Linked DNA regions of Mytilus edulis. The protein of the gene in region 2 binds, or shares a complex with, the protein of the main gene of each other region. Links are inferred from orthologs where the notes say so. Each region holds a gene or a part of one and is shown on either strand. Other genes may lie near its edges.

Evidence for each region.
Region 1: the proteins of elongation factor 1-delta-like (region 2) and elongation factor 1-gamma-like are in contact, whole or in part, in a crystal structure (PDB 5JPO), measured with the Homo sapiens proteins. The link is inferred for Mytilus edulis from reciprocal best matches to the Homo sapiens genes EEF1D and EEF1G. Residues at the interface, in NP_001123527.1 of Homo sapiens: Ala2, Asn4, Phe5, Leu6, His8, Glu9, Ile11, Trp12, Phe13, Lys15, Phe16; in NP_001395.1 of Homo sapiens: Tyr9, Trp13, Arg14, Phe40, Gly41, Asn44, Gly56, Lys57, Val58, Ser104, Val107, Pro108, Ser111, Thr112, Phe115, Ile120, Met121, His123, Asn130, Glu134.

What each region holds. Positions count from the first base shown.
Region 1 is NC_092346.1:58,345,735-58,361,606, forward strand, and holds the start of elongation factor 1-gamma-like, read right to left. Parts: upstream 7,150-15,872; 5' UTR 7,043-7,149; coding exon 7,031-7,042; intron 6,908-7,030; coding exon 6,761-6,907; intron 4,370-6,760; coding exon 4,306-4,369; intron 1,424-4,305; coding exon 1,281-1,423; intron 820-1,280; coding exon 676-819; intron 1-675. Other genes in the region: calcineurin subunit B type 1, read left to right, coding at 7,198-7,200, 9,241-9,280, 11,350-11,526, 11,899-11,958, 15,722-15,872. UniProt on the Homo sapiens protein: Probably plays a role in anchoring the complex to other cellular components.
Region 2 is NC_092355.1:30,358,135-30,375,078, forward strand, and holds the start of elongation factor 1-delta-like, read right to left. Parts: upstream 6,394-16,944; 5' UTR 6,332-6,393; intron 3,472-6,331; 5' UTR 3,471-3,471; coding exon 3,375-3,470; intron 1,912-3,374; coding exon 1,825-1,911; intron 1-1,824. Other genes in the region: regulator of microtubule dynamics protein 1-like, read left to right, coding at 7,103-8,023; chromatin accessibility complex protein 1-like, read right to left, coding at 12,718-12,788, 14,149-14,269, 15,609-15,728.

The DNA.
Region 1 (15,872 bases), on a different chromosome or scaffold from region 2:
AGATCATTATAAAACGATGAATATACATGTATGTACAATATCTTTTACTAAGATAAAAGGTATATAATTGTATTATATGTCTCTGCTTAGGGCTTAGGCTAATGATGACTTTTCAATACTGTAACAGTTTATTTTTTACTGAAGTAGACAAGCTTAAAGTAACCAAACCATTTTAGTATGTTAAAAATTTATCAAATATGAACAAAGAGGTTCATTTAATGACCAAAAACACAATTTTAGATTTTTTTCATTGTAATCAGAATGTAATCAAAAAGTAATCATGATTACAGGGTATTTTGAAAAGTAATTGATTAAATTAAATTACATGTAATCAGATTTTTGGCTGATTAATGATTACACTGATTACTTGAAAAATTGTAATCAATTACAGCTGATTAACGATTACAATTACAATTACCCCAAGTCTGAATTGTGTAATTTATATCTTGTCCACCTGATTTCTTATGATTAAGAAATTCCACACAGTCATTTAAATGGTGTCTAGAAAATCAACCTGACAATGGTACAACTCAGTTATAGACAACAGCAATCATTGATAATGTTTATGAACTTTCCCCCCGTTAGTATGCATTGAAAAGATCAAATTGATTAGGATTGGCTTTAGCTGTGTAATTGACAAATTTTTGTAGACAAATCTTACCAATAGTTACTTACATATTTGTACAGGGACAATAGATTGCAAGCAACACTAATGTCAGCCTGGGTGATGCGTTCTCCTACCAGGTATGTACGTGTCAGCAGGTAGTTGTCTAACACAGACAGAGCTTTCTTCACCTGGGCCTTAGCACGCTCTGTTTCCTAAACAAAAAAATCAACAAGTTTTTACAAATGAGTTCATTTTTAAAATTGCCTTTTCTCATTACACACATACTATAAAAAAAATAATGCCAATACAAATATTATTTCTTCCAACATGAGGATTTCACCACACAAATTTGAAATAAAATAATTATCTCTGCTGAGTTAGGTTAAAAAATTACTTCTGTGGAATTACAACTTTTTTTTACTTCATGTCCGCCTTTAAATTTAAAATGCAAAATTTTTATATCTCCAACTTTAATTACAAGCATCAGCAAATGCATAAATCATCAAGCTGGACAAAATTGTGATTTAAACAATTCAAATTCACTAACAAGATGTGCAAGCAAATTTTCAAGAAATGTTCCTGTACTTCATTTTTGTACTTCACAGTTCTACCTCTACAGATAAACTGTAATTTGCAACATATGTCCTTATCTTGTTCTCTTAATTTTACATACCGTTTTGTTATACTGCACAATACCTAGGCATGGGTATACCCAGGTACAAGATGCTGGAAGAATCTCATTGTCACCAAAATTAATCCACTGTAGGATGAATGATGCATCTTTGTCATTCTTACCCCTCAACTGAGTGTTCCCAACTAAAAAAAAAAATTGACTTCATGAAATTCATCAATATGCCTTTGTTCATGAAATGAAGAACAAGATCAATAATTATGACTTTTCATCAGGAAAACTGGCAATCTAAAACTCCCAGCCAATTAAGATTGGAGTAGGGGCACCTGCACAAACTTAATGTTGAAAGGCTAGATTTTAATGCAGAGTTCACTCAGCAACCTAAACCCCAATATCATGAATATAATGTTTAAATGATAAATGTTCAACTTCCAGTGCTAAATAAAAAGCATATTTCAGGGAGAGATGTTGTTGTGTTGAGAATTTAAATCCTTCTTTAGGTAAGCACACTTCCACAAATCAACAGAGACTGCTGTCAAGCTTTGACCTTGACCTTCATGGGGGTTGATCAGCCATAACATGCCTACTTTGAGAAATTAGTTTTTTAGTTTTTTCAAATATCTAGTCTCTTGAAGTCAAATTTTCTAAATAGAAGCATGTGAATCCTTTCCAACACCATGCATACATTTAAATCAGCCATCATTTCAACAACTTAGAGGTTGAATATTAATACCTCTTGCTTACACTACAATTCTGAAAATACAATCCAATGATAGCCTCCACTATTATCAGTCACCACTTTTTTAATTTTACCTTGTTTGTTCAAAGAATTTTAAGATTAACTTTCTGAATGATCAATTTTTTTTGTTATTTGGCAAACACATTATTAGTTTATTCTCCTTAAAGATAGCCAGAAGATTAAGAACAATGGATGTGCTTACAGTGTTCTCCCCAGGCCGTTTTAGCGCCGCGATTTTCAGCGCTATTTCAATTTCCCGCTGTCCTATTGCACTGACCGCGTCGCTATCCCGTTCAACCGCGTCGCTATATTTTTTTTCGCTTTTTTTTTTAAATTTCCCGCTTATTTTTCTTTTCGGATCACGTGATTGACTGGTTAACGATTTTTGAAAGAATTATTAAAGTAACTCCGCGGGACCAGTCTAATAAATTTTACAAAATGGCGTCGTTGAGAGATCAAAATAAACAAAGATTTCAACATTGACATCTATTTAATGAATATATAGAGGCATATATGAATGAAATGAGAAGAAATAAATTGACCGTATTTCCCAACGACATTCACAAACTTGTTTAACGAACTTTGAACAAACACTGATTTTAACAACGATCAAATTGACTTCAATGAGCTAGTCTTTGAAGTATTAATTATCACCCAATCGAACTAATACCTGTTTAATCAGCAATTCTACAGTAATGAATTTTACCCTTTGAAAACAATTAAGAGGATATGATTATAAAAACAAACCCCAAGCTGATACTAGACTTGAGAAATTCACTTTCTCGATGTCCAGCTTGGGTGAAGCCAAGTTAAACGTCGTAAGGTTAACAGAACACTGCTACATGTTTTCGCTTTATAAAGATGCCGAAACGTATGAAAGGAATGGACAGTGCTAACAGAGACATATAATACATGTCTCGGGTGCTGAAAAGTTCATTTCTAAATTATATTTAAGGGAAGTTTTACCCCCTTCTCTGACAACGTTATCTCGTCCATTTTTTGAACCATCTACGATTATATCATTACTTTTTTTGCGTTTACAACCGAACTGTCGAACCTGTATTGCTAACCCGAATAATTCAGTCGTTATATTCCGCTGATCTACGATGGCTGCTCGTGTGGGAGAAAATCGGACACGGAAAGGGCTTGAATTATTCGAGTTACTGAATTGCTTGAAAGAAGCATCCCTGTTATCAAGGGATTCATTATAAGCCCGTATTTTACGATTACTTGACCATACATGGCTCTTTTTCAAATGGATAAGGGAATAAAACTAAACGAAAATTTTGTGTAAATATATATAAAATATCGATATTTGTCAACCAATCATCAATATATCTTAATTAAATATTGCTTTAAATTTAATGTAATCAGAGGATGGCTTGGATAAGGAATAGTATTTAATGCTAAAAAAAAGACATAGGTGTAAACAGGAAGTTATGTCAGCCAGTAAGGGAGATAATTTGGGAGGGAAAGACCTAAGAGAAGTATTGTCAAATCTTGACAAACTTATCTGGTGGCATGTATTCAAATGTTTATAAAATTATCAAACAAAACCTTTAAAGGTGGTAGTTGTTTCAATTGGCATTCATAATGTATTTGATTGGTAATTCACCTTTGAAATAAAAAAATCTCTTTAAAATGATTTGAATATTATTAAAAGGGCAATTTCATTTCTTCCTTTGAAATACTATACTCATTTTTATTGAAAAGTTGTACTTTGCTAGAAATGTTAATAAAAGTAAATGTAAAAAATACCAATCTTGTCATTGAAAACTTTCTCACAGAAGCTGACAATGACTTTATTGTTGGTCCTACATGTTCTGCAACATTACCTGTTAGTGATAAGAAATCTTCACATCTAGGCAGTCTGGTATAGACTCACCATGGAAAAGACTTCTCCTTGGGTTTTATAGACAGATAATATGAGGATTATATGTATTTACAATGGAGACAAAAAGACTTTTCTTCTATCATGTCTATATCCAGACAATAACATTAGCAAACAAAGGGGTAACTTCCATGAGCATGATGAGGACATCATAACAAGAGAAAACATCAATAGCATTATATAAGAAAAACACATAACAAATCAATTACAAACCAACCGCGCGCCGCGACAAAGTTACTGAGAATTGTCGAAAATCACGCGCTTACCACAGCGCTATCCAAAAATCCTGGGGAGAACACTGGCTTACATTTACATGATGTAGTACATGCATATTGCTCTTTTTTTGTGGTCCGACTTAACGTAGCATGTGCATGTCTAATTGTATGCATACATTTTGTAATTCATGCGAGTAAAAATAAAATATATAAAGTACATACGAAAGTGTGCAATGGCATTGCTTTCAAATATGCAATCTCCTCCAGCTGTAACAAATGCTGGAACCTGAAAAATAAAATGACATACATTTTAAAACTTACAAATACATACATTAGATCCATCTTACTTAATTTATAATCAAGTGAAAATTAATATTTTCCATTGCCACTCTCCATAATAATCATTAAGATCTAAATCTTAAATAGGGATGTGAACATTGGCATTATTGATAAAAGTTGGTTATTTTTTCTTTTTTACATTAAATCCTATGAAGACAAGAGAAAGTAAATATACATCATGATCATTCTGGACCATAATATACTGCATGTAGTTATTCTGAATATGATCACGCCTAAATTTATTAACCTGGTCATCTGATCAGAACAAACCTTGCTCTTCCTTCAGTTCTTACACATTTGCCATATGAACCAGCAAACATGCCTTGAAGGTTGCATCTTATTGGAAGACATAATTTCCTAAATGATTATTATTCTGAATGTTCATTAAGCTAGTAACAATGGATTAATGTGTTGACCGCCATTATGACACTGCCATACATCTTTACTTCTTTTTAATTTGCTATCAAGAACCCAATATTACCACACTATAATGATTATGAATTTTAATGTCCAGTGGAAAATATTACAAGCACATCAAGAGAAAATGTATAGCAATTTGTGTTCTGTCGTGACTTTATTCAACAATTACTGTATTAGTTTTAACTTGTTTTCCAAATTTTGTCTTATCTTATGTATTTGTATGTAATGTGATGAAAACTCTTTATACTAGGACCATCCGAGTGTAATTGTAAAAAAAATATTCTGTTTGACTCCTGCTATGGACTAAACCAACACATTAAGCTTTATTTTTTGTGTACTTAGATGAGTTTGCCAGACGTCACCCTACCTAGACAAATCACTGACTCTTAGTCTTACATGCACATTTTCTTATCCAGAATGCCAATGGGTCGATGTATAGGATAAGTAAATCACATACCCGTAGCCAGGGGGGTTCGAGGGTTGCGGACGAACTCCTCCCCCCTTGAAAACAAATTGTGACTGTTAAAGTAGAGTTCCCGAGTCCAAATACCCCTCCCCCCCTCCTTGGAAATTCCTGGTCTGAATCAGCAGCAAAAAACACAGAAAGTCATTCAGACACAAACTTGAACAAATAAGGAAGAAGGGGAGTTGGTATAACTGTCATTGAATCTGCCAAGGGATACTAAATGTCTATGTACCGCCATCTGACATTGCCCTTTAACAAATATCTGACAAGTTCATGTTTTGCCATGTAGATAAAATTTCTCAGCAAGAGACAATGCAAGAAAGATGAAAGTTTAACCACTAATTCAATTATGTGACAACTTTATTTGAATACATGTACATGTAGTTATTCTGAATATGAAAAAGTTGAATGGTATCAATCCTTCATGTGATCAGAAAAAAACCTTTCTCTGCCTTCAGTTCTTACACATTTGCCATTAAAAACCAGCAAACATGCCTTTGATGAAGGTTCTACATTTTTTTATCATTCAAGCAAACAAAAAGATTATGAACTTTCAATAAGAATATCAAATATTTGTCACTATATAGCAAAATACTAGCAACAATTGATCAATCATGTGTTGACCCGACTGTTACGTGTAAGCAGTACAATACACCTTATACAAGTTATAGCTACATTGTATTTGTCCATGGTTCCATGAAATTTTTAGGTCATTATACAAATATATATGTCGCCTAAATGGAAAAGATTGTTGTATGACATCAATAGTTCAAGCCAGACAAATTCTCTAGGTCAGCTTGGAATATAGATAAGGTGTTTATGGGCACCATTCATGTAAAATTTCTGACGTCACAATGGAAAAATGATTGTTGACAATTTGTTGTACGCCAATAACAGTTCAAGGCAAAATGGGGCAGATTCTCAGGTCAATAGGGACAGATTTTCAAATAGCAATACACTTTTCTATTGTGGTGTCAGATTTTGTGGGAACCTATGTGGTATACAGTAATGGCGGTCAATTAGCGATAAGGTGTTTAAGGTGACATACAATATTATGTGTACAGCTCTTGAAATTACTTCTACTTCTATGTGGTTAATCTGCAGTCAACGCAGATACACTGTGCATGTGTGTCAACCAGTACAAGCCAAGTTAAAAATAACAAAAGCTTTTGAGTATTTAGAGGAACAAAAACAAATAAAAATTAATTTACAAAAAGAGGAAAATCAATAAAAATAATTTTGATGTTAATTTTTATGCAAAGAACTGGCTCGTTAGTGGACAGTATCATATATATGCATATCAGATGTTTGTTAATTCTACAAATGTACCATCATCTGCTAGTCAAAATCCGTAAAAATATTGTCTGCATTTTCAGAGTTTATTTCTCGACACATATGTATCTTACCCATATCAATGTTTCGATGTGTGACCACATTTAAAAAGCGACTTACTTTTCCAAGCGGAAATTTAGACAAGAAATCTGGAGTTTGGTTGGTTTCACCGAACTTGAAACTTGCAAGCTTGATTGTTGTACGGCTGTACTCCGCTGCAATTTGAGCTTTGAAAGCTCTGAAGTTGTCAGGGTATGTGTAAAGAGTCTACAAAATTAAAAAAAGACAAAGATTATTTATTGTTTTTCAGTTTTCCAGAGGTAAATTTATTGTTTGAGGAAAGATTGCGTTGATTCTATATTGATTGTCACGTATGTCAATGTGTAGTACCCCTGTAGCCATTGCACCGGTAAAAAAGGAAGTTACATTTGAACTTTCCGGTATGTCATGCGCTTTTCGATAGAATTGCTTCAAGTGCCCGGATGTTTCGTCTAGAGTTGTCAATATCGAACTAAAATATTTAATTGATCGAAACAGAAATACAGTTTTAGTTGAAAATGGTAACATAAGTGCCTCATTGAAACATATTTGATGTTGCATATTTGTTATGATATGATTTTTGTATCCTACACTCTAAAATACAATAATTTTGGTTCATTTGTACCAATTTTATGTCCATGATTCTGAAACTGGACAGGGAAAAAGGGGGAAATTTTGGGTACAACCTCATCGATGTCAAATACTCGATGCTTCAACTACATTTTCTAAGAAACTATTACTTCTGTATACGTGAATTAATCAATTGCAAAAAGAAAGATTTTCTAACAGACAACACATTTACAGCATAATAATTAATTTAATATCAATAAATGTCCTTATAAGGTCTACATCGTAGGTTGATTTATCAGCACATTGCATAAAGACACTTAATAAAAAGTAACAATCTGAGAGTCCAGTAATCAAAAATTAAATTTGTGCAAAAATAAAAAAAAATAACATTTACATCAATACATGTCTTACATGTATATACAAACAAGGTACGTAGATATCTAAATATACTGGCTTTGGATCAGTATTTTAAACCAATCCTTTTAAACTGATCCAAAGAATTATAAACACTAATGATGTTTTGTGGAAGTAAATTTCAGAGTACAACTGAGTATGGAAAAAAGCTGTACTGAAAGTAATCTGTTCTGGTGCTGAAAGTTTGAGATTGTATAGTGAGGGTGGTAAAGGGTTATTTTCGTGCAACGTTTTCCGCCTTTTTAATTCACGTGTTTTCGTGTTTTGAAGTTTTATTTCTCGTTTTCTCGTGTTTGGCTCGACGTGCGTGCCTCGTGTTCTCCTTTATTTATTTTCCGTGTTTCGTGTCATTACTCTTAATTTCTCGTGCTTGTCCTGCAATTGATTAAGAGTACGGCCGGGATTAAATTCAAAGCCCCGGTCAGTCTGGAGATTGATTTAAATTATGTGTTCCCATGCAGAATATTTAAAATTGCTATAATTAATTATTATGATCTATTATGAATAATATTTTTCTTTCAAATCAGTTGCGACTAGCCGACGCTAAAATGTGACTGTAGGGTCATCATGTCCATCATATATAATGGCTAGATGATCTCCAAGAACGGCTGATTAATAAATTATTTTACTTTTTACATAAATTTTTACTATTTTATTTCTCGTGCTTCGTTTTTTCCGATTTTTATTTTCCGTGCAACGTTTTTGCCATTTTTATTTCACCTGTTTCCGTGTTGAGGGCCCCCCTTTACCACCCTCTATAGTGAGTCTGGTGTTTTTATCTGGCTGTGGTGTGAGGTAAAGATTTGAATCGACTGCTATAAGTTGGTGTGTGATCTCAGACATTATAGTTACTTGATTAATGTTTCTGCGAGTTTCTAGTGACTTCCATTTAAGATCGTCAATCATGGAAGTGGCACTACTGGTGTTATGGTACTTGTTGGTGACGTAATGTGGTCCTTCTTCATGTTCTTTGTACCTTTTCAATATTATTTTTTTTGTTTTTGGGTGTTAAAGGGGACCAAACTGAAGAGCCGTATTAGAAGTTTTATCGTACCATTGTTTTTGCGAGCCAAACTTTTTGTTTCTTCCTGATTAATTTTCAAGTTTCTTCGTAAAAAGCCTAACATCTTGTTTGCTTTAGCTGTGATGTTGTTGGTATGGGTATCCATAATATCCCATGACATATTGTTGGATACATCTGTTTGGCAATACATGACATCGATTCAAATTGGACACGCTAAGAGTATCACAATATTGGATGTAGATTTGAGAATGTGGAGTCAGATTAGAACGTTGATTTGAGGAACCGGCGTCGATTCTTTCAAATACATATCAAGTAAATATTGCTATGACATATGTTTATGTTATTATAAAATCAGCTGCCAGTCTCAAGTCATTATAATATATACATATTTTGTTTAAGGGCCAGATAAAGCCTGCCTCTAGATGTGGGATTTTCTCACTGTGTGGAATACCCATTGGTGGCTTTTGCTGTTTTCTGCTCTTTGGGCAGGTTATCTCTTTGTGTGACACATTCCCAATTCTCAATTTTAACTTATTGCTTTTATCTGTTTTAGGGAAATGAAGCATCACTTCCTTTGGAATTATGTTCAAACTGTAAGTAGATTTAAATATGATTTGATTGATACTTGCGAATAAAAAGTTTTTATGTTATTTTGAAAAATTTCAGATGATATGCCTTAAATGAATTTCAAACTAATTTTCACAATGTTGCCTTTTATCTTAAGAATTATATTTGAAATTTGAAAAGTTAAAAATGAACAACAATACAGATGATACAAGATTTACTTAACGGCCAATAGCAGTAAAAACTACTATTTAATTTTACTACATCTTATTAATATGGAAATTTAGATTCAACTTTTTTTATTTGTCTGCTGTTTGTTTTCGTCAATGTGTAAAGCTTTTGTCCTCTGTTTGATTTAGTCAATGTTTAAAGCTTTGAAAGTATGACATTTAATTATTGTTCAGCCACATTTTAAGTTCAAATGCTTTATTTAGAAATTGATGATTTTATAATTATCAAACATTTGTTGCAGTCTTTCATCAAAGGCTACTATATATAGCTATATTTACTGAAGTTAAATTCTTGGAATTTTAGGGGCCAATTTTGACCATTTGTAACATTCTCCAAATGACCTTCACCATGCCCACAAATATAATTGAGGCAGAGATGGGTCCGATTACTTTCAATGTAATTGATTAAATTACAATTACTTTGTCATTTGTGCGATTAAATTAAATTAACGATTACATCATTTCTGAAAGTGTCTGATTAAATTAATGATACATTGGCAAAGTAATTATGATTACATCTGATTACAATGAATTAAAAAAAACCTTTTGAATGATGTGAATGAATAAAAGTTCAATAGCATTTAATAGTTTTTATAGAATTTTTAGAAAGGATTAGGTTTGATATATTATAAAATGATAACTTTAAACCTCATCTATTTAATAAACCACGAAAGTTCACTACATACATACATTTATACATGAACATTGTGTCTATGGTTTGACCCATTACCTTCATCAAGATTGATCTCTGAATTATTTTGACTTCAATTGAATAAAGCTTTATAAAGAGTTTGCTGCTTGTCTTCTAACCTCTTCCAGACTTTATTTGTATTTCAAGGTGCAGTTTTATAGAATTGTTTAATTAAATTGTAAACAAAATTCAAATACTAAAAATCATTGCATTTTACATGTCCAGTCCAAATACATACAAAATTTTGCTTATTTTAAACAAGATTTTTTTCCCCAACTTTTAATTTAGTTTGTGTTAATTAGAGAAATTTTGAATGTCTGATTAATCTTTTATCATATGTATTGTCCTGCAGCTATACTCATTTGGTAATTTCAATAAAAACAAACCTTAATTGGTTATCTACCTGTCAATTCAAAGTTGACAAAAATATTACCAAAAGATAATAATTTAGGGTTAAAGATAATTATCACTAGAATATAACAGTTATTATCAAATATGTATATGTACATCTTTAAATTGTCAATATATGTACAATATTTTTTACTAAGGCCAAAGACATATAATTGTATTTATATGTCTCTTAGGATAATGGGGGCTTTTATATACTGTAACAGTTTATTTTTAACTGAAGTATACAAATCAATCAACATGCTTAATAAAGTAAACCAAACTATCTTAACATATTAAATATTTATCAAATAAGAATATTAAAAATGTTAATTTCTTGACCATCAACATTGTAATCATAATGTAATCAAAAAGTAATCAGGATTACAGGGTATTTTGAAAAGTAATTGATTAAATTAAATTACATGTAATCAGATTTTTGGCTGATTAAAATGATTACTTGAAAAATTGTATTCAATTACAGCTGATTAACGATTACAATTACCCCAAGTCTGAATTGAGGTCCTGATCTTGAGGACTTGGGGTACAGATAAATTACATGTATTTAAATCAAATATCTGGTTGGAGGTATGAAAGCAAATTTCTTATAAATTTTCTTGCTTCATTATACAATACTTCATAATACAATTAGTTTTTGAAGTAACTTTACATGTGAAAATATATAAAAAATGTTTGTATTAATTGTTGGACCCTTTCTTGAAATATTTTGTTTAGGGTGATGCAAGTGCAAAGTCTATATAATAATATAATTTTGATTTATATTTTTCAGTTGATGCAGATGAAATTAAAAGACTTGGTAAGCGGTTTCGTAAATTAGATTTGGACAACTCTGGATCACTGAGTGTAGATGAGTTTATGTCATTACCAGAATTACAACAGAATCCTTTAGTACAACGAGTAATAGATATATTTGACACAGATGGTAATGGAGAAGTAGATTTTAAAGGTAATTTATCTCAAGAAATATATACAACTTTTAGTTAAACATCAATATTCTGTTTAGATAAGAAAATAGATTCTGTGTTACTGATAACATGGATAACATATAAGAATATTATTGCCAAAATTGAAGGAAAACAGAAAAACTATAATTATATAACTGAGGTAAACTTTACATTTTTATAAGAAATTTATGACATTAATCTTATTCAGTTGTTTAAGGAGCCTTACAAAACTTAATTATTAGAAATATGTTTCAAATTGACTTAAAATTCACTTCAGGTACATGTAAATTAATAATCAGAGTTTAGCTCTTTTTCACAACTCTATCTAGGAAGTGTTTTGTTCTCCTGTAATTAGTGATATTTTTCTTTTACAGAATTCATAGAAGGAGTATCACAATTTAGTGTTAAAGGAGACAAATTATCTAAATTAAGATGTAAGTACAATAAGTTTTGTCTAGGTTACCTGCTGACTGACCCTGTTTGAGGTCTTTTCCAAGAGTCATAATTGTTTGGTTTTTGTCATTAAGAATCATCTTACTGAAAAAGTCAAATTCAATATACATGTACCACTTTGAGTACTTCAGTAATTTATTCCTGTATGAAAATTGTCCTGATGAAGCCTGCCTTGCAGGTGAAACATGTAGACCATAGCATATAAAATTGCAGACCATTTGGAAGTTTTTTTTGTCAATTTGGAGTATTACATTTTGTTATGTTACATGGATGCTAGTTATTCATGCTCTGCTTTTAAAATGACAGAAAAAAATAATTTTGGGATCGTATGATGGTATGCTGTCTTTGTTGTCCGAAAACACATTGGTTTCCAGACAATAACTATAGTTTATTAGTGAATAGATCTTAATGAATTTTTTTCAGAAGGTAAAATACCACTAAAGGAAGATTGGGATTGATTTTGGGGATTATGGTCCCAACTGTTTTGGAAAAAGGGGACCACAAGCATTTTTCTAGTTTCAGGATAATAACTTGTGATAAATATTTCGATTGCTCTAAAATTGTACCACAATGTTTAATACCACAAGTAGAAGTTTGGGATTCACTTTCGGGGTTATGGGGCCAACAATTTAGGAATAAAGGACCAAATAGCGACCAAAAAAAACAGCATTTTTCTAGTTTCCAGACAATAACTTATGTGTAAGTGTATGGATCTGTCTGAAATTGTACCACAATGTTCTATATAACAAAGGGAAGGCTGGGATTGAGTTTGGGGTTGATTGCACCAAACATGTAGGAATTAGGGGCCAAAAAAGGTCAAAAAGAAGCTTTTTATACAACCGCAAAAATTTTAATTTTTTGGTCGTATATTGCTATCACGTTGGCGTCATCGTCGTCGACGTCGTAGTCCGAATACTTTTAGTTTTTGCACTCTTAACTTTAGTAAAAAAGAATAGAAATCAATGAAATTTTAACACAAGGTTTTTGACCACAAAAGAAAGGTTGGGATTGATTTTGGGAGTTTTGGTCCCAACATTTTAGGAATTAAGGGCCAAAAAGGGCCCAAATAAGCATTTTCTTGGTTTTCGCACAATTACTTTAGTGTAAGTAAATAGAAATCAATGAAATTTAAACACAAGGTTTATGACCACAAAAGGAAGGTTGGGATTGATTTTTGGAGTTGAGGTCACAACAGTTTATGAATTAGGGGCCAAAAAGGGGCCCAAATAAGCATTATTTTTGTTTTTTGCACCATAACTTTAGTATAAGTAAATAGAAATCTATGAAATTTAAACACAAGGTTTATGACCATAAAAGGAAGGTTGAGTTTGATTTTGGGAGTTTTGGTCCCAACAGTTTAGGAATAAGGGGCCCAAAGGGTCCAAAATTGAACTTTGTGTGATTTCATCAAAAATTAAATAATTGGGGTTCTTTGATGCGGAATCTAACTATGTATGTAGATTCTTAATTTTTGGTCCCGTTTTCAAATTGGTCTACATTAAGGTCCAAAGGGTCCAAAATTAATCTTAGTTTGATTTTAACAAAAATTGAATCCTTGGGGTTCTTTGATATGCTGAATTTAAAAATGTACTTAGATTTTTAATTATTGGCCTAGTTTTCAAGTTGGTCCAAATGGGGGTCCAAAATTAAACTTTGTTTGATTTCATCAAAAATTGAATAAATGGGTTCTTTGATATGCCAAATCTAACTGTGTATGTAGATTCTTAATTTTTGGTCCAGTTTTCAAATTGGTCTACATTAAGGTCCAAAGGGTCCAAAATTAAACTAAGTTTGATTTTAACAAAAATTAAATTCTTGGGCTTATTTGATATGCTTTATCTAAACATGTACTTAGATTTTTTATTATGAACCCAGTTTTCAAGTTGGTCCAAATCAGGATTCCATATCAAGTATTGTGCAATAGCAAGAAATTTTCAATTGCACAGTATTGCACAATAGCAAGAAATATCTAATTGCACAATATTGTGCAAAAGCAATTAATTTTCAATTGGAGTTATCTTTCTTTGTATAGAATAGTAGTTGATAATATATGTTGGAAATTTGCCAGACATGACTATGATGTCATTTTCTATTTTTATTTGCCAATAATTTTATGTAAATAACTTCGTTGGAAATTTGCCAATATGAAATGTTGCTGATGAAGCTTTTTTTCCTTATCTTATCTAAAATGTTTTTAGATAATGTATGTTGGACATTTGCCAGACATTACTATGATGTCATTTTCTATTTTTATTTGCCAATAACTTTTGTGTAAATAACTTCATTGGAAATTTGCCAATATAAAATGTTGCTGATGAAGTTTTTTTTATTGTTTTATACAATAAACAATGTATATTCACTTTTACTACCAACCAATCTTTACCATTCAGTGATAACAAGCACTTTATTTTACATTTTAATATTTTATGATGTATTTAAAAGAGTAGTTATTGTTGCAAACTCCATTAGAATTTTGAATTGATATCAGTTTTGGAAAAAGGGAAACGGGGATGTGAAAAAAAAATGGGGGGGGGGGGGGGGGGGGGGGGGGTTAAATTTTTCTCATTTCAGATTTCATAAATAAAAAGAAAATTTCTTCAAACATTTTTTTGAGAGGATTAATATTCAACAGCATAGTGAATTGCTCAAAGGCAAAAAAAAAATTTTAAGTTCATTAGACCACATTCATTCTGTGTCAGAAACCTATGCTGTGTCAACTATTTAATTTTAGATTTAAATAAGTTTGAAGAAGAAATCTTTAATTGATTTGTAAAATCTTGACATTTGTTTTGTGTAAAAAAAACCATGTAATGTCAAAAATTTGATCACAATCCAAATTCAGAGCTGTATCACGCTTGAATGTTTTGTCCATACTTGCCCCAACTGTTCAGGGTTCGACCTCTGCGGTCGTATAAAGCTACGCCCTGCGGAGCACCTGGTTTCTAGTTTCCAGACAGTAACTTGCGTTTAAGAGTATAGGTCTCTCTGAAATTGTACTACAAGGTTCCATACTACAATGGAAAGGCTGGGATTGAGTTTTGGGGTTATTGTTATTGCTCCAAGGGTGAATTTGTTAACAATTTTTCAAATTTCAAATTTTGGAAAAGTTTCAAGATGAAATCTTCAATTGCACAAGTAACAGTATTGCACAATAGATTTGTAAGATCTTTGACAACATTTATTTTGTGTCAGAAACCTATATTATGTCAAAAATTTGATAACAATTCAAATTCAGACAGTACCAAGCTTAAATATTGTGTCCGAATTTACCTGAACTGTTTAGGGTTTGACCTCTATGGTCATATCAGGCTTGGCTTAGCGAAGCATTTTATTTTAATATTGTTTAGGTACACATTTTTAGTGAATTTTAGTTAAGCCACGAATATAGATGTTCACACAAGTGCCAATTATCTATAAGCTTGTATGCAAACTTTGACAAAAGCATGAAATCAAATATCCATGAAAATTGGTATCCATAAAAATGAATAAATTAACAGTCACAGTTTATAGTTGATGAATGACAAAGACAGAGAATTATAGCTTTATAGCTTGCTGTTTAGTATCAAGGCTCTGTTTTGAAAGTGGTACTTTGACCTATAATGGTTTACTCTCACAAATTGTGATTGGATGGAGAGTTGTGTCATTGGCACTCATGAATATCATATTTTCTTATATCTATATAACATATTTCTTGAAACTTTATTTCCATCTTACCTTCTGAACTTTATACATTTATAATTTCAGTTGCATTTAAGATATATGACATGGATAAAGATGGATATATATCTAATGGAGAACTGTTCCAGGTGCTTAAAATGATGGTAGGAAATAATCTCAAAGACACTCAGCTACAGCAGATTGTAGATAAAACCATTATACATGCAGATACTGATGG
Region 2 (16,944 bases):
ATTTTAAAACAACACAATATTTTTGCTATATATACCAATACCTGAATGATGGCAAAAAAAAACAGAAAAGTGGAATGTAAAGTTAATTAACAGAATTTAAAAAGATCAAATTTTGATATACATGTAGTATATATGTAGACTTAACTTCTGTTTCTAATCATTACTAATTGCTTTTTTGAAGTACTAATTAAAAAATATATATATATAAAAAATTTGCTTCAATAAACTTTAATTCATAAAATAAATAATTCTATTAACTTTTTTTTATTAAACATTTTTACTGTATTTTCAAATGAATTTATTCACAGAAATAAATATCGCATTTTTAAGAAGCAAAAAGCAGTGAATTATAATCTATTTAGTGATAATCAACACTCTGTACTTATATATATATATATATATATATATATATAATTATTTTGCAGAATCAAAACACCATAAACACATGAGGATGCTAATTTTTGCGTCAGCAAATTTATTCATAACTTTTAAAGATTGAATGATTAAAAGCTAGGCATATGCATAAGGTATGGAAAAATATTGGTTGTTGAAGTCTGTTTATTGTTCGTCAATTTTCTTTAAGTATCATTTTGGTTATTTTGATTGTTGGTTTGCCATCTCAAGACTAATTTACCCAACATCTATTTTTCAACATTGATGACATTCAGATCAAATTGAATTTTTCATTTTCAGAATAACATGTGCAATTTTCATTTTACTGTTTAATGTCAAATCATGATGCGACCAAATTACAATGGAATTCAAACCAAACCTATTTTCTGAAGTTTTTGTATTTTTTTATCATGTTTATTGATGAAATTTCTTGATGTATATATATATTATATTATGTTTTTAAATTGAAATGTACAAGTATAATAAAATTACTAGTATTTAAATTTCAACCTTCATTAACTATTCTTGTAATCCATTCTATAAAATTTTACATCAAATATTATATATTCCTTTATATACATATTACATGATATAAGTGTGTGTACCTTTACCATGTTTATCTTGGTCTTCATGGTCTTAAGCATTTGTAAACTAAAGCAGGAATATACATAATGTATACAGACTGCAAAACATTAAAGCCCTAACTAACCAGATATGATGTAAAAATTAACATTGGGTTGGTTTATTCAACTTAAGGTGAATTGAAGACTGTTTTATAATAACTATCTGCATGTATTAAGAGAAAATATTCTTTCTTTTCTGTATAAAACACATTGATGCATAAAACAAAACTAATTTTGGTCCATGTAACTAAAGAAACAAATCTGTGTATTATACACATAACTTATTGATGCATAACACACATCTTTTATGCCAGATTAACTTGAGAAAAATGTGCGCATTATACACAACTGACTATGGTAATAACACAGTAGTCTGTCATCAAAATTGATTATTCAATGGCAGTCTACTGCCTTATTACCGTATCCAGTTATGTATAATGCACAGATTTTTTTTTGATTAATGGTGTGCAAGGTCATAATTTGTTAGGGCTATTCCAGAAAAAAATGTATAAGGGGGTTGGAAGGCACATTATATTAATAATACATGGGTGATGGGTATCAGAGCAACTTTTCACACTATAATGCACTATAATTCTCAATTACAATTGTCTGGGTGGTGGGTGCTGACAAAAACTGCCTTCCAACCCCCCCATACATTTTTTTCTGGAATAGCCCTTATAGAAATGTTAAGAAAAGAAAGACAGATAGCTATTATAAAACAGTCAGTTGTAACTAGATTGCTTTGCACTAAATATCTACATGCTTAAAAGAATGAAATAATAACATGAACAACAGCAATTTTACTCACAGAAGATAAAGCTTTTTGAATTTGTTGTCTGGCTTCAGCTATTTCATTTATTAATTTGCTTGACCCAGAATTCTCTTTATTATTGCCCTAGAAATATATGCATTTTTTATTTCAATATTTATAATCTATTTAATAGCGCCAAACAAAAAGGTCAAAGTATGGTTTATTAATTATTATTTTATTTTATTCCTCAAACATTTGTCAAAGGTTGCAGTTGTTTGTCCTTTATCATGATAAATTGATGAAAGCCACTCTACATAATATTAATCATATTATAAAATAAGTAGTAAGTACAAAAATGTATAATTTTATACACTTCACCATATACGTGAAATATGGATTATGTTATTTCCACACTTCTACGATTGGACCCTGGGAGAACACAGATTTAACAGAAATTTTATTATCCTGTTTATTCCACCAATATTTCTTTTTTTCTCTTCGTAAGAATTAATTTCCTATTTACAATGTGAGAATGATCTGATGATGTGTAAGCATTTGAATTCCAAATTTTTCAACAATTTTAAGGTTAAATTTCATGGGAGTTGTCGGAAATGGCTGCCCAATGTGGAAATAACAAAAACCAATTAGATTGAACATTGCTATTTTTGTTCAATCTTTATTTTCAGATCAGATCAATGTTGTACTTTTAGTTTTCTATGTGTATGTTAATTTTATTTTTATCTACAATGGTAACTTGATGAAGTTTTTATAATACGTGTGATATATAATTTACTGCATGCACTAATAAATAATTACTTATACATCATGATATACATTATTGATCCAAAATTTACAATGTTACAATAGCATCCTTACTATACATGCTATTTCTTAAATGATTTTGATGATAACTATGAATCTATAAAAAAATATTTGTGAAATATCAACAGAAGTTGTTCTGTTTTTTGCCAAATTCCAATAAAACATGCTTTCATCTAGGCCTACTTCGAATCGTCCAACTCGGGTTGACTTGAGTTAAAAGATCAGTGCTAATAAATGTGCATGTGGGCAACCAAAACTCTTCCATTGCCAGTTGAGAAAACTCTACTAACCCTGAGTAGGACAAATCGATGTAGGCCTTAAGAGCAAGCACATGAACATGTATCCGTTTACAGTTTATATCATTTCTATGGATATCTTGAAAAATTCAACATGTACAAATACAAATGAATACTGGTATCAGAATCCTATAGCTAGTAAAAGCTGAAATAGTAAGGTTAATACACATCATACATTGTGTTAATCCTGCCCAAAGATCTAAGGCCAAAAATAATAATACATGTTTCCGCTAACCCTAACTACCTGACTACCTTAATTTTTAGTGCCTACCCAACTCTTTTTATGCCAATTTGGACTAAGCATCTTTAAAGTCACAATACTTCCCTAATAGCAACCAGCTAAAAATTGTTTGTTAAAAGATTGATATTGCCTACTTTAATTTTTTTCAGGACGTTTACGGAAACACATATTAATTTTTTTGGCCTAAACAAATTTGTTACTCCTGCCCAAAGATCTAAATTAGTGTACATAGTTTTATGCAGACTTACAGATGTACCAGCAATTGTACATTGATAAACAGCTTCTGCATTTTCAAATTTCTGTTGGTCTCTCCATGTAGAATCTAACAATAGTGGTTGTGCCATCCTGAAAAAAAGAACCACTAGATTATAAACATATAATCTTATTTTACAAATTCAATGTATAACAAATTTGACAATACTCATTTGAATTGTTTAACATGTCATTTCTGGGCCTTTTAAAGTTGACTATATGGTATGGGTTTTGCTCATTGTTGAAGGCAGTACAGTGACATATAGATGTTTAATATCGGTGTAATTTGGTCTCTTGTGGAGAGTTGTCTAATTGGCAATCATATCACATTTCCTTTTTTTAACTTAAAGGGCTTGATACATTGTAAGGCCAAAATAAAAAGATTGTATGTTTGCCCAAACGCGACCGACCCAAAATAAACCCGCCGACTCAAATTCTTTTTTTGACGTTTTTTTGGAAGAATTTTTTTTTTCCGGATTTATTTTGGGTCAGCTCCGTCATCGTACAAAACTTAATGTTTGTCGTCTTTGCGTTTGAAAGTAATTGTGAATAAGATTAAAAGAAAGCGTATAAGAGACGCAGTTAATCGATATTCGATGTTCTCTGTTTTTATCTTCTGATTTAACGAACGTAAAGAAGTATAACAAGTGAAGTGGCACAGTTTTTTTATGCTGTAGTTGTTTGTACTACCAAACCCTTACCTATATGCTCAACATTAATTTCATCGTGTTATTGAATATCTGATAAGAATATTTGGGTAGATTTGTTCAAAACCATGTGCAATCGAATATTTTTAATGTTATTCTGACAGGAAATGGATCTGGAAGTTGCGAATTTATAATCTTGCAAGAAGATTTTGTTTTTACTGAATAAAAAGGAATTATTTCTTGATAAATTGTTGTCTTTAATTATAATCTTCCTTTATCATGTAAATTAGATGCCCTTTTATTCGAATAGTTCAAATTTACAAGTCTCATTAGACAGTCAGTACGTTGCTGTTTGGGAGAATTAGATAAAACTATAATTGCTCACAGAATCAGAAATATAATCTTAACTGAATGTCACTCCTTCTGAATAATTTATTGCAATATAAATATAAATCCCTTTTGACAAGAGAAATCTGACTTTTGTCAGAAATATTTTTTCACATGTGCAAAAGTAAAAACATGTTATGGACGCCATATTGGATTTTTATACAATTTGTGAGGAAGCCCCTAGAACCATGTCAGACCTAAAAATAAAGTCTTCAGAAAACGTTAACTTTATGCAATTTCATTTAATCAATAATGATTATTTTCAAAAATTTAAACTTGATTATTTAAAGAAATAAAATTATAACAAATACGTTTTTAGTTTGGAGATTCTACAGAACATGCTTTGATCTATTTATAGCCAAATTAGTTTACCTGTGTGATAATGTAAAATATAAATTTGTTTTCAAAACATAAAAAAGACACAAACTAAGGATGGTAGATAAAAATTCATATAAATATTTTAGGACATTTAATCTATTTTAATAGAATAGGATTTAAAAACTGCAAACAAATTTAATCATTACATAATCAGCTGATATTTTTTTTACACAAACATCGTGTTGATCATGTTGATGGAACTGTTGAAAATCACTTCACAAATCCAACAGCCCTTTCACACAGTTAGCAATTGTCAGGGTTATAAACATCTCAGGATACAAATCATATAGTAGACTAATTTATTTATAGAGGTTTTAAATTCATGGCTTTTGGTTGTCTCTACAAAGGTTTGACAGAGAAAAAAAAAGATATACTGTTTTAAGATCTTTTAATATTTTCATGCAAATTTGGAAAAAAAAAAGAAAAAAAAATTTGCCTACCTACCTACCCACACCCAGTCATCATGGGTCGGGTTTGGGCAAACTGAAATATTTTTAATTGTGGCCTAACTTGATAAATGTTAATGACTGTTGTTGTTTGTTGGTGTGGTTCACAATTGTTTCTTGTTTTTTTTACATAGATTAGACCTTTAATTTTAAGTTTTTAAATTGTTTTACATGTAGTTATTGTAGGGCTCTTTAAAGATTGCTGTTCCGTGTGAGCCAAGGCTCTGTGGTGAAGGCCTGATACTTTGAATTGTAATTTTTTTACTTTTTATACATGTACATTGGAATTGGAATGGAATACTACATCTTATTTATATGTGCAAAAAAAGATAGGTGTTCTAGTATTCATTTGCTAACAATATTCATTAAAAGTAATTGTTTTCGCTATGGAGGGGGATGGGGCTGTCAGAGGGGACCTGATAAGTGGCAGATCCAGAAATTTCATAAGTGGGGGCCCACTGACTGCCTAAGAGGGGGCCCGCTCCAGTGCTTCCCTATATAAGCAGCCAAATTTTTCCACCCTTGGCCCCCCCTAAATCCGCCTCTGTTGGTCCCGAAATCTCTGGCTTCAAACATGAAATCCTGAGGTCCAAAATTTAAAGAAATTTAAATCCCAGCATTCCAAAATTGGAAACAAGAATTCCAGGATCTCGAAAGGGTCTATCCTGAACACCCGATCCTGACATCTCCAAAAAGGTCTTCCCCCACCTCTACAAAACAGCAGGTCTTTTTTTAGCGCAATTGGTTAACAAAGCAGACATTCTCATAAAAAAATCTTTAAAAAATGAATGAACTTGTTGTTGAACATTACCAGTTTTTCAGAATCTTTTATCAAATTAAAATTTGTTTCAAAATCTGAGTGGACATCATAAGATGTCAACAGCTTGGAGGTGGGATTGACAAATCTGCCTGAGGCTGAGGCAGGTTAGTCCACTAGAGGCATGTATCTCATTAATTATCCCCCCTTTTTCATTAAAGTGGTTGACAATCTTAAAAACCACACCGAAATATCTTTTGACAAAGTTGATTGTATACAGTAGTTGATGATTTATCTGTGTTTGATTTTAATATAACTTTCTACGTGAGATTTCGTACTTTTTGATATATTTTTTTCTGAAGCCGGCTTTGTTCCACGATGTATAGGGAATAAAAGAAAGATTTTAGGACTCAAGATATAATTTACATAAAAGTACGGGCAGATTGAGAATAAAATCCGGGAACATAATGCACTGTACACTCTGGTAGAAATCAAATCTGTCATGACACATTAGAGGATAAATCTTTGTAAATAAAACGAACAAAACCATATTTTCTAGTCAACCATATTTCCTACTATTTATTGATTACTGATTCTTGTTTTCCGGAAAATAAATGAACCGAACTTGTTTCAGAGATTACTCACTGATTACACTGACAACATATTCAGGTGGCACGGTAGTATTTCCCTGCCATAGGCGACAATGTTAACATTTTTCAGATTTTCATGACTTTCTAACACTCCCCAAGACCTAAAACCTACTGTAACTTGAAGTACTTTCATTCAGATATTCAAAAATAAATGAGAAACACCATCATGACCGTTTACTTTTTTAGCTATTGTCACCAGTCTAAGGGAACCAGTCATTTACATCATATTTGGCCGCAGTAAATGCAATATTCTAAAAAAATTCTAAAAGATTTATTTCAATAGTTACATTTGAAAATTGCTATTTTTCAGACTCATAATTGGTTAAAATACTTGAAAAAAATGTTTCTGGTTGATAATCCATTTTAATGTCCAATCACAGTGTCATAAGTATTCACCTAAGTAGGGTACACAAAGGAGCAACCTAAAACGTTGGAAGCAAATACTACCGTGCCACCTTCATGATGCAAAGTTCATTGAAATTTTTTACAAAATTTAGACAGTCATGTGGCGTGGCATACAGATTCTTGAGGTCCCAGAGAAAGGAATCATATAAACAGTTCAAGAAAATCCAATATCCATTGTTTCCTGTACTGGCATTTCAACCTTTTGCAACAGTCCATGCTCTAAGTTTTGGGTTTGGAAAGAAAGAAGAGGTCAAAGAATTGACCAAAGAAGAATTAGTTGTTATAGAAGCTGATAAAATATATACAGCTAATGAGATACTTAAACTGTATGATTTCCTAATTCAGTACAAGGATTGTCAGAATGATGAAATTTTGTGGAGACTGGCAAGGGCTGCGAGCGACAAAGGAAAACTAGTTCAAAATACCAATGAAAAGAAAGCCTGCTTTTTTGAAGCCTTTGAATATGTCAAGAAAGCTCTAGAATTAAATGACAATAATTTTGCCTCTCACAAATGGTATGCCATACTACTTGATTACACAGCAGAATATGAAGGCACGAAAAAAAGAATTTCAAATGCCTTTCATGTGAAGGAACATTTAAAGAGAGCCAATGAATTAAACCCAAAAGATGCAACATCATTGTACTCACTTGGGTATTGGTGTTTTCTATTTGCAGACATGCCTTGGTACATGAGACAAATAGCTTCAGCACTGTTTGCTTCACCACCAACTTCAACTTATGAAGAGGCGCTGGCTTATTTTGAAAAAGCTGAAGAAGCAGATCCTAATTTTTACAGTATGAACTTATTGATGTTAGGGAAAACTTACCTCAGATTGAAGAACCATAATATGGCGCTGAAATATTTAACTAGAGCGAAAGATCAACCTTTAAATAAACCTGATGATGAAAAGGCTCACAAAGAAGCTCTGGAATTATTAAAAAGCATGGGTGTGAAATTAAAAGACCAGCAATAAGAATAACTTGATTATAAGGCTGTTCATTAATACAATTTTTTTCTTGAATACTCAGGTGTTTATTGGTGCAATTGTTCAAATCAATAACTATATATGTACTTTTTCAAAATACATGTAGTATAATATTTTACAAATTACCAAATTAGAATGTATGTACATACAATAAACAGTTATTTATTTGTGGCTTTATCAGTCTTACTTTTCCAAGTAAAATACTAAATGGCCCGGACATGATGTCAAACTAGTTCACCTCCATAAAAAAATAGGGGTGAAGTTTTATCCACTGTAACAATGTTATGTACATGTATATCCACCACAAATCTTGTATAGCTGGTAATGTTTCATATTCCGGACTTTTGTACACTTCCTAATTGATATTGAACATGATGAAAGCATCTAATTTTTTGGATTTTTAGAAAGTTTCTGTATCTTACTAAATGATTTGATAATTACAATAATTATAAATCATAAATGGAATGGTAATACTATAAGTACATGTGTTAAAATAGAGGATGGAATTACAGGAAATGGGAAATATGACAAAAGAGACAAAAACCTGACCAAAAGTTAACATCTCATTTCTATTGATAATTGTCAGCAGCTTAAATACTGTAAGTTCAGAAATTATTGTGTGCATTTATTTTTGCAATTTGTAAAAGATGGACAAAACTGGGAAGTTAATTGTTGAGATTTTAGGAATGCTGCATAAAGATATGTATCTGACAGATATCAAAATAGTAGTTCTTTTTATTACAAAACTTATCCAATAGACCACTTTCCAGTTCATCCATCACCGGAAAAAAATCGTCAATTATGCAGCCTTTATGACGTCATTTACCAGATAGAGGGGATCGCCTGTATCCCTGCACTATTTACGTTCATCAAGTGTCTTAGTGATCGTCATTGTGCAGGATAAACTAGAAATAATGGTCTGTCATTGTCTGTAGGTACTTAATGACAATTCCCTAATAACAGCAGTGCTGATTGTCAATTTTTTAGAATTCAATTTGCAGTATAATTCTTACAACATAGAATTCTAGTTTTCCAATCACTCGCTCAACATTGGAAAGGAAGTGACGACGCCCCTAAACGCACAAATGACGTTCACTAAAACCAGAGTTTTTGAAGGAAATGCATTGAACTCCAAAGTTGTCTATTGCATTATTTGCATTAATTGATAAATAACTTTTTGTACCTCACAATAAATTCTGAATTAAGTTTCACACATGTTTATATGCCCATCTCAAAAAGAGAGGTGAAATATACCAATTGGGCATTCAAACTCGTTAGTCAAAAATAAACTTGACAACACCATGGCAAAAAAAAAAAAATAACCAAATTAAAAAAAAAAACAAGTTGACAGTACACATACGGTAACACAACATAGAAAACTAACAACTAAGCAACACATCATAGGCGAATCCAGGGGGGCCCGGGTCCCCCTTTGGTAGGAAAAATTTGGTTGATTATATAGGGAATCATTGAAGCATGACTGGAGTGGGCCCCCCCTTAGGAAAAGTTCTGGATCCGCCACTGCACATGCACCAACCCCACCAAAATAAAGGGGATGATCTCAGTTCCTTAGGGATGCATATCCTGCTCAACATGTGGTACTGGTTGCCTCAATGTGTCTTGCCAATATGCTATTTTTACCCCCAGGATATTAAGTTTTATTTAAAAAAATATTCTCCTCCGTAATACACATCTCAGAGTCAGGTTCTCACTGAATAGTTTTGAGGGCAATTACAGTTTCAAATATATATGGCAAGTAAGAGTGAAAAGATAAAACTGTATTGGTATACAATTCATCTTCTTAGTGGATACACCATTTGACAATCTTCAGATAAGACCAGGAGGGATTCATGGACTTGTCTTATATTGAGAACCCTGAAATTCATACAATTTTCCAAATAAAATAGATGTGGTGTAGACATCATTGAGACAGCTATATACCCAAATGTCTATCTTGTCATGTTTTGAATCTTTCTTAGTATGGACAAGCTGTAAACAGAGACAACAATCTGTCAGTCAGCATCACAAATTCATAATTGTATAAAACTGGTGGTTTAATCAAGTATGACCACTGACAAAGGTTCTGACTGGACATATTTCATGTGTATTTACATGGTTAAAGAACTTTTAACAAATTTGAATTACTGCATGTTTTCCATTATTTTCTGTATTTTTAAATTTGTTTTTCATTTCTTCATACTTCTGATCTTATTTTTTTAGTCCATTTTTTTTTGGTGGTATTGGCCTGTTATTGATTTCTCTATATATTCTGTAAACCCCATCTAGACACTCCTAAATTGTGCTGAGACTTATCCTTTTTCATACAAGTAAATCTTTTCATTCATTGTTAAACAAATCATGATTTAGGTCTTCTCTGTTGCATTGTTTCGTAATTTTTTTTTATCCTGGTTTTGTTATAGCTTACTATAAGGCATGGATTTGGGTTATTTTTTAAGTCTGTATAGTGACCTATAGGCTATAATTGTTTGCATTGTTTCATTTTGGCCTTTAACTGGATATACAGCTGTTTATTTGGCAATTTTACAACATCTGAGAAAAAGATCAAACCACTTAATATTAACATTGACCAATGAATCATAAAATTAGGTCATGGTCAAATAATTTATGCCAGCCAGACCTGTACAGCTTGCAATCATTTAGACACCAGATGTACATGTAATGGTCTAATCATTAAAAGTACCTGAGAACAGATCAAACAACAAAATCTCAACATTGTCCAATGAACCATGAAGTTGGAGTCTAGGTAAGGGGTCATCCATAATTGTCAACCATTTTCCAAAGTGTACAAAACGTACACTTGGGGGGAGGGGGTTAAAAAATCAACATTTTTACCGTACGCTTTTTTTTTATTTCCGGAATTTATATCGTTTCCGTAGGGAAAGTCGATTTATAAAATCGAGAATTGGCTTGAGTGTTTCTCTTCTTATTTCTTCTTGATTATTTTCACTTGATGATATTGATTTTGATATCATAATTCTACTCAATCGGGATTGAACGATTAAAAGATCAAATCATATGAAAACTAAATCTTTCAAAAATGTGAACTAGTAAAATTATTTAAACAAAAAGTTTTTATGTGTCCTTTTGTTAATCTTTTGCATGCTCTAGGTGCCCTATTTTATTGGAGTTACCATTTCCACTGTGTGATAGGGGAAACACTAATCTTTGTAATCTTTATTCGGACAAAACACAAGCATCACAGATAGATGTCATCAAAAAAAACAGTCAGATATGTTTTAGTTTTTTTTTCAATGCAAAGTTCTATATTAAACTAAAATATAATAGACAGGATCTTCTTTTTATTAAGAATGACTGATTCTTCTCTTGAAATCTGAAAATGGTTGATGTACACTTTTTGAAGGAGGGTGGGGGGTCTGACAAAGTGTACGTTTTGTACACTTTGGAAAATGGTTGACAATTATGGACGACCCCTAAGATAAAACCTGTTGTGTGCACCTTAAAATTATTCCATACACCAAATTAAGTTAAGGTGGTACCCAACACCCTCACTAAAATTTATTTATCGTTTAATTTTCATAAAATTTTGACAAAGTATTTACTTTGACCATTTCACAAAAATATAAAAATTTCCAAAAATTTGAACCAACCATTTTATGAGAAAAATTACACTGGTTGTATAGCAGTTTGACAAACATTAGTTTGATTATTGAGAAGCTTATATTTCCTTAACAACACAGTGTAATTAAAATGTTTAGCTGATTTTACAGAGTTATCTCCCTGTAGTGTTAGGTACCACCTTAACCTAATGGTTAGAAATAGTATCACAGAGATACTGACTTGACCACTTCACTTTAACCTTGATACCAGATCTATGAAATGAGAAATGCAGAAAATGCAAGGATTTACCCATATACCAAATATAGTTATTATATTACTCATAATAATTCAATATTAGACTTGACAAACAAAACATGTTCAAGCTGTCACTGAACCATGAAAATGAGGTATAGGACAAGGGAAAAATGACAGATAGAAACATCATTACACAAGGTATGAAGCATCAAGGTCATCTCCATTCTGTACTATAGAGCTTTATACAAATTATAAATAAGCCGGCACCATAACTGGATTGTAATCCTTATGTCTCCCTTTCAGCATCATTCGTAGCAGACAAGAAGAACCATTATATCCTATCCCTTTTCTCAAAATTGATTGAGGCAAAAAGGATTGCTTGTTTTCATGCAAAAAATGCCTAGATAAATGCCTTAACATGTAAAGACTAAGAAAATACAGTAATACTATGTGAACCTGAAATGAGACAACCATAAGGACACAGAGAAATGAAAACATAATGCCTCCCTTACTATTGTACATGACAGAATTGAAACCAGAACAGTGTCACTTTTGACATTTTATTCATTATTTTATAGTAAGACTGCTCTCTAACATTTCAATCTATAACAACAGTAATTAAACCATATATGCTGGATTGTATCAATTTTATATAAAAAGTTAATTGCATGATTCTGAAAGAAATTACTGTTTTTTACATCAGATTTATAATTTCATGTACATAAGTGTATTTTCGTGTGCTATCATACTTCATAAGAACATGTGGAATTCCTTTTCAGAATTGACCAAGACCAAGACCGTCAAGATTATTTTGTCTATTTTTTTCAGGTTTAAGAAAGATAACTCTGTCAACTTTCATCTTCTTCCTTCTGTTTAATGGAAAGATATTCAGAATATTTAATCTTCCTTGGAATAATATCTGAAAAATAAAAAATGATTACAAAGCATTTTGTAACAAATTTCGACTAGAATGATTTAATACCTGTCACCTGGATTAATAGTCTCTTTTGGGACAATGTTTGAAAAGATGAGCGATAATTTTTTAACACTGTATTGTTGACTTTAAACATTTTAAAGCATTTATCTATTGTTTTTTTTTAAAAGTCCCATAAAATTAAACTTGAGAAAAACTCAAAATCAGCATTTTTAATTTCCTATGGAAATTAACATTGGAAGGGGAGATAACTCTGCAAAAAAGTCTTTATTTGGTCTTTTTTTGGTTAATTTTCTTTTAAAAAAAATAAAATTAAAGTATGCTACTTTGATGGGGTTATAAGTTCATATTTGACTATGTTATATAATTTTCTGCTCATGTAATGTACAAAACCGAAGTGATATGGGTATTTTAATTTTTTTGTGTGCATTTTTCATCAAAGAAATTGCAAATTTGTGACCATTTTGAAAAAATAATGTCAAAATTTGGTATGGTTTATATCTGTATATTATATTTGTTCAGCAACTTCAAACACTTTAAACCACAAAAAGAAGAATATATTCTTAATTATTTTATTAAATTTGAGATTCTTTACCTTGACATGTTGAAAAATTCAATAAATAGTCAACTAATACATTACACAATGTAGATTGTGGCTTGATAAAAGATATGAAAACATCTTTAGAGCTGTTTGGTATACTCTAAAAATGGTTAAAATATCAAGAAATAATGCATTCTGTTGAATAAAATCGGTAATGTTATAACTTTGTATCAATTTTATTGAAATTTCTGACTTTTTTGCAGAATTATCTCCCAATTCAGCTGCTATTCAACATGTTCAATGCAAATCTTCATAGGAATTTTAAATTGTGATTTTTTAGTCTTCCTCCAGTAAAATTTTATGGGACTTTTTCCTGTGTATATTTATGATATAATGCTGAATATTAAAACTTAAAAATCTTCTGTTGCAATTACTTTAAGGTTAGGGTCAAATTTATGCTAGATTGACTGGACTATAATGAGTCTTAACCATTTAGCAATAAAAATTGATTCACTACTTTTAGTACTAATGGTGTGCTAAACCCTACCAAATACAGTCTTTTGTTAATGTCGGGTTGATTTCTTATTTTTGTTTTTGGGTCCGGTCAGTTGAAGTCCAACTCTAGGTACAGGATTTCTTGCAGCGATAAAGACCTGTAGGTGGCCTTTTAGAAGTTCTGCTTTTTTCTACTCTTGGGTGGGTTGTTGACTCTTTGACACATTCCAATATTCCATTCTCTATTCTATTCTAATACAAAGATCTGTTTTGATCAGATTGGAAAAATTATGAATCTTGAATACAAACCTTGTAAAAACTGGAGTACATCTTCTGAGTTAACTACTTCAGCTAAGTCTTTGTAGTCTACACTGTTTTTACTTTCATTTGTTTCTAATGAGATCATGGCTAAGTTCTGTATAAACAATTCCTGAAAAATTAATATATTTAATGATGACTTACAGGCTACAAATTATTGAAATATATCTAATATATACAATGACAAACTATAACATGTACAGTGGAGTCCCCGGTGTCCGAGCGGCCGGTGATATCGCGCAATAGCTGATTTTGTCATATCAACACAGTAACACAAATAAAATTGAATTTGTTCTTGTTATTGTTTTAGCATGCAGAAGGGAAAAAAAGAATAAAATTGATAAGTTCAAGAGTTAAATAATAATGATAATAACTGCAATCGCGTGATTTACAATATTTTGCCAATTTCCATTAAAAAAAATTACATCAACAGAAAAAATTTGTTTTATTTAAGTCAAATTTATATCAGATTGAAATAATTTTCGCTCTGCATCCTTGGCAGTGTGCTTGGTTCAAATTCAGCTATATTTTGTAGCAGAAAATCTTTCCTTTTTTAAAAAAAAGCTATTTTTGGAAGGCATGCACGAAATTACCGGACATTGAAGGAACTCTCAGAACAGGGGTTTCCCTAATTTTGGACACACATTGCACAAAATCTTGAGGATGAAACCATACAAACAGATCATTTTATGAAATAAAAGTACATATGTTATGAATTAATGTGTTCACACAATATTATCTAATTCTTGGTTTTATCAATTGAATAAAGTGAAGTCATAAGTCTTAGGTGCGCGGATACACCAGACTGCACCGTATAACAATGTATAAAATTAGAATGTAACCTAACAAGATTTTTGAAAAGGCTTGTAAATTTCAAATTCAGAGATATATGAAACTAAGTTTATTGTTGGATGCTACATTTTAGCTCTCATTTAGCTCTATTATTTTATTATTTTTCAAATTTTCATACTCTTCACTCTTTCTACACGAAATCCCCATGAGGTGGATCATTATCGATAATTTCCGTATATATTTCACGTTTCATTCCCGATCCGATGGCATTTTAATAGAAAACCGGATGTGGGTACGTGCAGCCTAGAATGGCAATTTGACTATTCGTACCCACATGCGGGTACGCTCAGACACTGCCTATGGAAAAACTACACAATCACAATTTACATGACAAAATTCTAAATTTTCTAATTAAGCATTGTTAAGTGCTCAAGTGATTTCATGGATTTGATAAGTAGCCTTAGTAGGGTGAACGAACCCAGGACTAACCGACTCTATGGACGAATCTTCCCTATGGACGAACACATACAGGGCGAACCGACTCCGTGGACTGACGGACCGATGGCGAGGGGACCCGATTCCACTATAAACAAATTTATGTTCTCACATTGAGTTTTTTACAACTGTTTTTTTTTGGGGGTAAATAAAATCTCTCTTACAGTTGCTTTGCCTGTTAAATAAAGGGCTTCCTGGCTGATTGCTGCAACATCTGGGGAGCTCTTCATTATCGTTCTCACACGAGATAAAGGCAATGAATTTTTATCCTTTGATTCTGACATTTTTCAATTTTCCCTCCTAGCCCTTATGGTGATTCCCGAAAGTTTCCGAGGTAGAAATGATTAAAAGCAAGACTTCATATTGGGGCGATTAAACTTATGTGATGAGTTACAGTGGTGACGAGAACTCGAGGACGAGAAGAAAGAAATTTTAGTGTGTCGTAATAATGACAATTATACTAATATTGTAAAACAAATAAATCCATGAATGTTTTTATTCCTTAATTGATATCATCTTTGAGTATTTTCAATATCTTTGAATTTGAAAAACTGAAAGCTAATTTGAATTATTCTGTTATAAATCAAAGGATTTGCATTTAATACTATACATTGCTATACAAATCCTTAATTGGTTAATATATCAGATGAACATGAATTATGTAAATACAGAAATACATCGGCAGATAACATATTTGCACTAAAATCAGTAATTGATCACATTAAACACAATAAATGATAATAAACAGCTGAGCCATGAGCGCATGATACGCCCGTCGTCTTGTGTAAAAGTTTTATGCAACAATCATAAATAGTTTCTGAGAAAGTTTTAAGCAATAACCATATATTGTTTTTGAGATACGGCGGGACATATGACCCCCCTCTTTTTTTTTTACAAAAAATCTAAATATCACTAAAATAAAATTTTGAAAACAAAACAAAAATGTATACGTACAGATTTTTAAATTAATATAACAAAGAAGTGTGTAAAGTTTTAAGCAATAATCATAATTTGTTTTTATGATACGGCGTGACAAAAACCCTCCCCCTTTTTTTACAAAATACTCAATAACTCAAAATGAAATTTTGAATCATCACCAAAAAGTATACAGATCTTAAGATTAATTTAACTAAGAAGTGTGTTAAGTGTGTAAAGTTTTAAGCAATAATCAAAAATCGTTTTTGATATACGGTGCGACATGTGAAAAAACACCCCCCTGTTTTATTACAAAGTGCCGTAACTCAAAAAGTTTTAATCTTATTTTAACCAAAAAGTATACAGATCATTTGACCATCATAAGAAACAACTATAATAAGTTTCATGAAATTTGGATAAATCGTTCTCAAGTTACGGTGCGACATGTTTACGCCGGACAGACAGACGGACAGACGGACAGACAGACGGACGGACAGACGGACGGACACCGGACATTTGTATACCATAATATGTCCCGTCAAAATTTTGACGGGCGTATAAAAAGGCATTTGCAGCTTTTATCGA